2 linked regions of the Arabidopsis thaliana genome follow. The protein of the gene in region 1 interacts with the protein of each later gene in a pairwise test. Each region holds a gene or a part of one and is shown in the gene's direction. Other genes may lie near its edges.

What was found.
Region 2: the proteins of ADS1 (region 1) and AT4G33380 interact in a protein complementation assay, tested with the Arabidopsis thaliana proteins (one large-scale study listed by BioGRID).

The regions. Positions count from the first base shown.
Region 1 is NC_003075.7:14,367,285-14,371,699, forward strand, and holds ADS1 (MATE efflux family protein), read left to right. Parts: upstream 1-1,592; 5' UTR 1,593-1,863; coding exon 1,864-3,462; 3' UTR 3,463-3,911; downstream 3,912-4,415.
Region 2 is NC_003075.7:16,070,057-16,075,436, forward strand, and holds AT4G33380 (dimethylallyl, adenosine tRNA methylthiotransferase), read left to right. Parts: upstream 1-1,683; 5' UTR 1,684-2,007; coding exon 2,008-2,173; intron 2,174-2,263; coding exon 2,264-2,352; intron 2,353-2,424; coding exon 2,425-2,563; intron 2,564-3,593; coding exon 3,594-3,692; intron 3,693-3,823; coding exon 3,824-3,946; intron 3,947-4,062; coding exon 4,063-4,322; intron 4,323-4,438; coding exon 4,439-4,549; 3' UTR 4,550-4,858; downstream 4,859-5,380. Other genes in the region: AT4G33370 (DEA(D/H)-box RNA helicase family protein), read right to left, coding at 1-1,151, 1,260-1,349; AT4G33390 (WEAK CHLOROPLAST MOVEMENT UNDER BLUE LIGHT-like protein (DUF827)), read left to right, coding at 5,226-5,380.

The DNA.
Region 1 (4,415 bases):
ATAAAAAAAAATAACATTATGCAATCGTCAACATTACTACAAATCTATATATTATTTATAATTAATTCATCTATAAGAAACTTGCTATATGTTTTCATTTAATATTGGTTGGAAGGTTATTTAGTCAAAGAAAAGCCATTAATAGCTGGAGATTTAAACTCCATTGTGAATTACAAACATTTCTTAATATGCAAACCATTACGAAGATGTATCCGGGACTTAAGTTGCTGTTTAAGTCTAATTTGTTCACCGGATGGAGACAAAACATGAAATAACGGCTAAATTAATTGTAAACCATAGTTTTCAAGCTTTGATTAAAGAGTCAAGCGAAACATTAATTTTAGTGTTGGGTCTTTAATTATAAATCACCGATTTGCATTCAAGTTTTGATAAGATATCTAGTTCGACTCTTCGTTCGGTTTTGGTTTAGTAAGTAAACAATGGTAGCGACGCTAAGCATGGTTTGATTCATAACTTCATGTGGTAGGTTATGGCCTTGGACTTTACTTTGGTCGAAAAAATATATCATTTTAATATTTTCGCAAAATAATAATATATGTTTGATTTATTCTAAAATTCAATATAATTTACCAAATACTATATTTAACTATATAACTATTTCAAAAATAGTGTATTTAACAGAGATAAAATTCTATTTGTATAAGAAATTCAGCACAAAATAGTTTAAAACAAAAAGAATTTTACAAGGACATTTTCGTGAATTTTAAACAAACACATTAAAAATAAGAAGAAGACAAATTAAAAAGAAATTCAAAGTTAAGTAAATGCAAACACATTTTTTGTGCCAAATGGTCGTTTAAAAAGGATTCGAGAGTTCACGTGCAATGAACTTGTACTATATATGCTAATCAAAATCTACTTACTTTAAATTATTTAGACGTTACATTGAACTGTCTTTAGATAAAAGATGTACTGTAATATTGGCCTTGTCTATCTTAATTCATAATTTTATTTTAGTATACCTAGATTATTTTTGCTTATCCTTTACTGATTTTACAAAGTATTCAAGACCATAAACACTAGTATAGTAGTATTGAACTAAACTTAACTAGCTTGGATTTGACCAAGATCTATGCAATATATTAAGAACTTGTTATACATATATGTGGGTTAATAAGCCATATATACCTACACTCACAAATCTTGAATATAGATTGTGATACAACAGCAATATTAGTACAAACCATTGGATGCTCTACAATGTTTTGTCTAATTGACCAAAAATAAAATTTAACCTCATATCTTTCAACCACTTTTTTCATAAGATTAAAAAGTTTTGTCATATATTCTTAATTTTTTTCCCTTGACCTAGCTAGTAGGTTTTCTAAAATTTCGGATTTGATACGTATATTCTTATAGTTTGCTAATACGTATCGGATACAGCATCTTTGTGTATGGTCCACCAGTAAATTACATTTGGGTAAGTATTTGATTTTAGTTGATTTTTTTCCAACTTATGTCACAAATCATTCATGTATCAAAAAAGTTGATACATTGTCAATTTACTATTAATGTATTTATCCATATAAAGTGACTTCTAAAAGTATTTTAAATATACAAAAAAAAAGTAGCTTAGATTCTTTTTCATGAAAAAATTTCGAAAAATTAAAAATGAAGAAAAAAAAAATCCTGCCAACTCCTTTATTAAGATGGTAAGAGAGAGCTCTGAGAAGAGAGAAGCAGCACCAAAAAAAATTCATATCTCTCTTTCCTTTCAATTTTCTCAGTTGTTAAAACCTCTCATACTCATTAGAGAGCTCTTCACGAGAGAACTCTTTCTCTTTCCCATTAAAGATCAAATCTTTCTTCTTCTTCATCAACACCATCATCATCATCACCGTCATGTGTAACCCATCAACAACAACAACAACCACCGGTTCAGAGAACCAAGAATCTCGAACCGGACTCTTCCTCGATCTCTTCTCGATCAATAGCTTTGAACCCACAAAGAGAAATCTCCGGCATTGTGAGAACAGAGGATCTCCTCTTATGGCAGAAGCTGTAACAGAGGCGAAATCTCTCTTCACGTTAGCTTTTCCGATCGCCGTGACGGCTCTTGTCCTCTACCTACGCTCAGCCGTATCAATGTTTTTCTTGGGTCAACTTGGTGACCTCGAATTAGCCGCCGGTTCACTCGCCATTGCCTTTGCTAACATAACCGGTTACTCTGTTTTATCCGGTTTAGCTCTTGGTATGGAACCACTCTGTTCTCAAGCCTTCGGTGCTCACCGCTTCAAACTCCTTTCCCTAACCCTCCATCGAACCGTGGTTTTTCTCTTGGTTTGTTGCGTACCGATCTCGGTTCTCTGGTTTAACGTCGGCAAAATATCGGTTTACCTTCACCAAGACCCCGACATCGCGAAATTAGCTCAGACATATCTCATCTTCTCCCTACCTGATCTTCTCACCAACACTCTTCTTCATCCAATCAGAATCTACCTTCGTGCTCAAGGCATCATTCACCCCGTAACCCTAGCTTCTCTCTCCGGCGCTGTTTTTCACCTCCCGGCTAATCTTTTCTTAGTCTCTTACCTCCGTCTTGGTTTAACCGGCGTAGCAGTCGCTTCCTCCATCACAAACATCTTCGTCGTTGCTTTCCTCGTTTGCTACGTCTGGGCGAGTGGTCTTCACGCGCCTACATGGACTGACCCGACCCGTGATTGTTTCCGCGGGTGGGCTCCGTTGCTGCGTCTCGCGGGACCAAGCTGTGTCTCCGTGTGTTTGGAATGGTGGTGGTACGAGATCATGATCGTTTTGTGTGGTTTGCTCGTGAATCCAAGATCGACGGTGGCTGCTATGGGCGTTTTGATCCAGACGACGTCGTTTCTTTATGTTTTCCCGTCTTCTCTTAGCTTTGCTGTCTCAACTAGAGTCGGAAACGAACTTGGAGCCAACCGTCCCAAGACAGCAAAGCTAACGGCTACGGTGGCTATCGTTTTCGCGGCGGTTACAGGGATTATAGCGGCGGCGTTTGCTTACTCAGTCAGAAACGCTTGGGGAAGGATTTTCACCGGAGACAAAGAGATACTCCAGCTAACAGCGGCGGCGTTACCGATATTAGGTCTATGCGAGATCGGAAACTGTCCTCAGACGGTGGGATGCGGCGTCGTGAGAGGAACAGCACGACCGTCAACGGCGGCGAACGTGAACCTTGGAGCGTTTTATCTGGTGGGCATGCCGGTGGCAGTGGGTCTCGGGTTTTGGGCCGGAATTGGGTTTAATGGGCTTTGGGTAGGACTACTTGCGGCGCAGATTAGCTGCGCAGGTCTTATGATGTACGTGGTGGGGACCACAGATTGGGAATCGGAGGCTAAGAAGGCGCAGACGCTAACGTGCGCTGAGACTGTAGAGAATGATATTATTAAGGCGGTGGTGGCGAGTACTATAGACGGTGAGTGCGATGAGGCTGAGCCGTTGATTCGCATCACGGTGCTTTATTAATATTAATTAAGACAAAACAAAACAAAATTATAATCATCATAATTATTCCCATCTCTTTTCCATAGAAGGAGAAAGTTTTGCCTTTCTTTGAGAAATTTAACATTTTCTTCTTTTTTTGTACTTAAAAATTTCTTTTTTTTTATCTCCTTATTTTTTCCGATGCCCTTATGATTGGCCGTTTATATGGAGTATCTATGAGTTTTTTTTTTATAAACTACTACATATGCTAAATACTTGAATAAACTCACATGAATGCAAAAAAATAATCACATGATTTTTTTTTTGCTCACAACTAAACATTTAATTACACCCAATCTGAGACAAAAGATGTTGGGACCATATAGCTGGAGCGACAGAGAATTAATTCAAAATAATTTTTGAAATGTTTTTGTAAGTTAATAAGATAATATGGAGAGAAGAATTCACTGTTGAATTGTAGAGACTTATTATTATTTGAAGGAAAAAATCTTACTAATAAATAGAAAAAAATGGGTGATAAAAAAAGGAAAGAGAGTAATATGGTAATTTGGAAAAAAGTGGCAACCCTGTGGGAAACAAAAACTTGTGTCTCAAAGATTCAGACAGGTCTGAATGAATGTTTTGGATTCCCTATAGACTATAGAGTGCTGTTTTGTTCAGAGATGAGAGAGAGAGTGAGTGAGAGATATCAAGTCCCAAGGACCATTGTATTGCATCATCTCATAAATTATTCCTACATTTTATTTTTATTCTCATCATAAATTATTTTATCCATATAATTCTGCATTTCGATGGGTATGGTTTCTAGTTTATTATTCTTATTATATAAAAAATAAAGTTTTAAAGTTGACGATAAAATATGTTATGTAAACTTCACTATAGATATTTTTTTTCCATTTCATTCTATCATAGTGAAATTTGAGAATGTACATTGTATAAGATCATACACTTTTTTTTTTGTCGACAAAAATCAT
Region 2 (5,380 bases), 1.7 Mb from region 1:
AAATCTAAACCCTTTGAAGCAACATCGGTCGCGACCAAAACGTCTTTTTTCCCAGCTTTGAACAAAGATATTGCGTAATCTCTGTCTTCTTGATCTTTTCCTCCATGGATAGCCACTGCTTCCACTCCTTTCAGTAACAAGTACTCGTGAATATCATCAACATCAGCTTTGTTCTCACAGAATATTAAAACCGGTGGAGTGGTTTTCTGCAGACACTCCAGAAGGTAAACAATCTTTGCTTCTTGCTTGACGTATTCAACCTCCTGTATGACATCGAGATTCGCAGCTCCAGCTCTTCCTACATTAACAGTTACAGGTTTCACCAGAGCACTTGTGGCAAAGATTTGGATTTTTGCAGGCATTGTGGCAGAAAACAAAAGTGTTTGACGCTGAGACTTAAAGTGGTCAAAGACATGTCTTATGTCATCTTCGAAACCCAAATCAACCAACCTATCTGCTTCATCCAGTGTCAACAACCTGCAAGCATCTAAGCTCATCTTTTTCTTGGCGAGGATATCCTTCAACCTTCCAGGAGTAGCAACAACGATGTGAACACCTTTCTTAACAACGTCCAACTGTGATCTCATATCCACTCCTCCAATGCATAGCAACGACCTCAACCGCGGGTATCCATCCTCGACTAAAGATGCCACAAACTGTTCAACCACATCGTAAGTCTGCTTAGCAAGCTCTCTAGACGGACAAATAACAAGCGCAATGGGACCTTCTCCAGCAGCTATAGGCATCATTATCTCCTCCTGCAGAGCTAATATGATCATAGGAAGCACGAAAACCAACGTCTTTCCGGAACCAGTGAACGCAATCCCAATCATATCTCTGCCAGACAAAACAACAGGAAGACCCTGAACTTGGATAGGAGTAGGGTGCATTATTCCTTTATCCTTGAGCATACGGAGAAGTGGACTCGGAAATTTCATATCCATGAAGTTTTTGATTGGAGGAGGAATATCTTCACCGTTAACTGTAATATGCCATTGCTTCCTAATCAAATCCATCTGTTTGGTTGACATCTTCCTAACGTGCAGAGGGGGTTTCCACCATGTTGAGAGAGGCTCTGTATAAGTGATACCTCTGGCTAATTCACCAACAGACATAAGCTTCTTCTTGTCAGATAAATGCTCCATCATCCCCTTCTCTTGTAAAATAATGGCCTCGGTAGCACTGACTTAAGGTACATGTCGCTTGAGCTGAGTTGCTTGAACAAGTAAGCTAGGTTTAGCTTCTTCAGTGAGCTTTACCTTGCCAGGTTCTTCCACCACCTTTCGCTTCATCTGCGCTAGACGCTCCTCTACTGGAACATACTCCACGTAACCATCATCTACTTCCATGATTCAAAATCCACTCGCCAACTTTTTCAAAGATCGAATCCAAACCCTAATCAGCAGATCTCTCGACTTTCAAGGAAGATCACGCAGATAGATATGACCGACACGGAGTTTTGGTTAAACCGGGGTTGGGGAATGATCGGGTGTGTTGTGTTTTCTGATTATAAGCAAAGAAAAGAAAAGCTACAAGAAGAGAGTCTCAATTAGAATTCGTATGTTGACAAGGAGCTAGGTAAAAGGTAGTTTTTCAAAAATTTAATTTCCATTTTTTTCATATATTGGATTGAAAAATGGCAATGACATGAATCATAGGATTATCACCACATTTAAAGATGTAGTATTTACATAACAATTGCAAGAAATAATACTACAAAACTTCCTATCTAGTATAGACGCTGCCAAAGAAATACATACGACGTTTTTATCCACACGCATTGATGAGATTGGTATATATCTCTGTCTCTGTCGAGTGAAAAATAAATTAATAGAGTAATAATTAAAAGCTCTCTCTCTCTATCTCCCACGATTTCCTTTTTCCGCCGGAAGAAGAAGCAAAAAAAAAAGAAATCGAATCTCTCTTTCAAGTGTTCGATTTAAAGCAAAAGTGTAATTATAATCGGAAGCGAGATCTTGAGAAATGGTGGGATGACGGCGGAGGGAGATGGCGAGGGGAGGAGGAGAATGGACCGGAGGGATCGCCGGAACCGGAGTTCTCTCTTTCAAAAGAATCACTCTACTTGTTTGCTTTTTCAACATTCTCATTGCTCTCTTTGTTCTTCGCTTTCTCTATGCTTCTTCTCTCCACATCTATTCCAATAACGATAATGGTTCCTACTTTTTATTTTCCTTTTCATTTTTGCTCTCTGATTCATGATAATTCGTATCTGAAGCAGCTCTGTTGGTTTTTTGTTATTCAGTTGTTAAGTACACAGCTGATGAGATTAGGAAAATGGAGGAATCTATTCGGATTCGAAGATCGAAGGAACCTACTCTGATTCTTCAATTGGTTAGTGGCTTTTTAAAATGGAACTCGAAGATGCACATTGGCTCTTCTCACAATGTTTGATTTCCTTGTTAGGTGAAGAAGCTCAAGCATGAGGTTTCCACTGCAGAATCTAGTACTGAACTATCTCCTAATGTTAAACACAAACTAGTTGATGAGATCCTCCAGCGTTTGAAAAGCTTTGAGGACAAATCTAATGTTACTCAGCTTAGAGGTTTGTGCTACTCTACTATGCCCATTAGCTTCATGACATTTATTTTTCAAACTGCCACAAACTTGCATTTCATGACTTTTCCTGATCTAGCTGCTTAGGATTTGTCTTATTACCTCTTTGGAATGTCATGGTGATTTGTCTTATTACCTAACCTGTGTAAGATTTTGTTGGTATCAATAGCTCAGTTTAGTAAATATTTCATTATCATTCATGTAGAAGTGGATTTTTGCTCAATAATGCATATGGTTATCAGGATAGTAAAATAGGCTCACAAATTTCAGACCTTTCTGCATGCACTATCACATACTAGACAGAACAATTGATTTTAGCGGGATTTTCAATGGAGATTTTTTCATGCCTAGTTTTTCTATTCTTCTTGTATAAGTTCATCAGGTCTATGGAACATAAGCTCTAACACCCACTTAAGTTCTGTTATAATCTATGCATTGATGATCATATGCTATGTACATGAAACATTTGAGCCACAGAAACTCTAGCGGTGGTGCCATTGTATACATAATCTTTTCGATGTTCTTTAGATTCTCAGTAGCTTACCTAACATGTTCGTATGTCTCAACATGCTTCTCTAATTCCTTTCTACTGCATCAGAAAAAGTATGCTCAAGAATTCCAAAAAGTCATGATATTTACCTTTTTGACTTGTTAAAAGTAGATTTTTCATTCTATTCACTTCACTTGAACAACTCTTAACATTTATTATGTGCTGACTAGGCTAATGCGCAATGTGCGTTAATTCTTAGTTATTTACAAGAGTTATTGGAAAAAGGTGGAAGGTAGGAATGGGTTAATTTATTTGGTTAGAGAGAGGTGACAAAATTCTAATAATCCAGACTTTGAAGACACTGGATTTCTTTTTGATGCTTCAAACTGAGTTCTATTGTTTTCCCTTGTAGTATTCGTAATGCACGTAGACTTGTTAATGTTTTCGCCTACAATAGTTTTCCTTTTGACACATTCATGTTATCTCTGTAGTGACCTTTAATACCTTCTTATCTTCATTTGGCAAACAGAAGTTGTAGAAACGTGGCGCAATGAGAAGCTGGAGGAAGCTAAAGAGCTAATTCAAGGGCAAAATGGAGTAAATTCCACCCTTATAGTGGAGGAAGCAGGTATTACTCCTTTAGAAAGATTACTGAGTTTCTCACCTTGAGCAAAGATTCATTTATGGAGTCCTCCCGATACTCTATCCTTGTTTTGTATAATTAGAGAGAAAACTAATTTTTGTTCTGTAATTATCTAGGGATGCTTGTAAGAGCTTTGGAGTTGGAGTGGGATGTGCTGTCTGAAGAAATCGGTTTCTGGTTACCTGCTGAGGTTACCAATGTAGAACATGATGATAAACCTGAAGGAGAGGAAGAGCCTGGTAATGTTTTCAAAATTTTCTACATTCTTGATCTCTGCTTTTGCATTTATTTGGGTGGAAAAGTGTGGTGACACTGGCGAATTCAAATCTCATGAAGTTGTGCATTTTTTCCGTAGAGGAAATATTGGCAGGCAGACCAGTGCCAGCTGTATGTAATGCAGAGCTTCACACAGATTATGGTGGTGCTGCAGTGAGATGGGGGCTTACACATCATAAAGAGAGTGCAGCTGATTGTTGCCAGGCTTGCTTAGACCAGGCAAAGCGTGCGAAACCTGGAGAAACGAGATGCAATATTTGGGTTTATTGCCCATCTGAGTTTGGTTGTTTCTCTCCAGATATTTATGAGCATAAACATCAGGAGTGTTGGCTTAAATACGTAAGAACTTACCTCGTACACATACTACTTTACCCAATTTTCAGTTTCCTTGAGATTACTCGTCCAAGTTGGACTGGAAGCTTGGCTCATATCCAATATGTCTATGTGAATTGCAGGCAGAGAAGCCAAAACAGAATTTCAAAGACAGATATTCTGAGACATACAGAAACAACCACCCAAAAGCGCCATCTATCGTTCCATGGGTTTCAGGTGTTGTAACGGCTTGAGCAAAACCCATGTGGACAGATTGATGGGAGAAATAGGAGATAGTTTTGGTTTTTTTTTCTCAGCTGTGTTACCATTTTCAGAGTCTTGAAAATTGGAGTACCGTACCAAAGATGCAAACATCTTTTGGCCAGATGTATACGAGGGAATAGAATGTTTTGTTGTTTTTGTTGATTGGCTTTAAACACTTGTGGTCGAAGTCGAATATGGTGTAAGGAATCATGTTTTTGTTCAAGCTTGTTCGATTCTATAGTGGATGATTAAAAAGCTATCTATAAACATGACGAATGTCTGTCTCCTGTTATATGATCAGATCAAATGTTTATGTCTGGTCTGTAATTATGTCACAAAACATCACAGTAAAACTCTGAAATGAAATAATGGTTGAAATATAGGAACTAAAAAAAACAAAGCAGAAATTACGGAGGGAAAAGAGAAAACAGAGGAGTGTGTTCATCTTTTGCTTCCGGGGTTGTCTCTATTCTAAATATAGACTTTCCAATTGTGTACCTCTCTTTTCTTGTCTTCTTAATCAGAAAATCAATAATTCTCTTCTACTTTCTTCATTTTTCCCTTTCTCTTGTAAGTCTCTCTTTTCATTGATTCTTTCTATTGGTGGCGAGCTTCGTTCAATCGTTTTAGCATTTCTCTTGTAAGTTTCGGCCTTGCTTTCCTCCGATGGAGGATTTGAAAACAACAGACGCACTATCTCTTCCAGTTGTTAGTGATAATGGTGGAATAATAGAGCCTGAGTTGCAGCTACCTCAAGCAATACCAACAGAACTTGAGAATAATGAAGAAGAAAATGGGACAATTCAACAATCTCAAAGTGA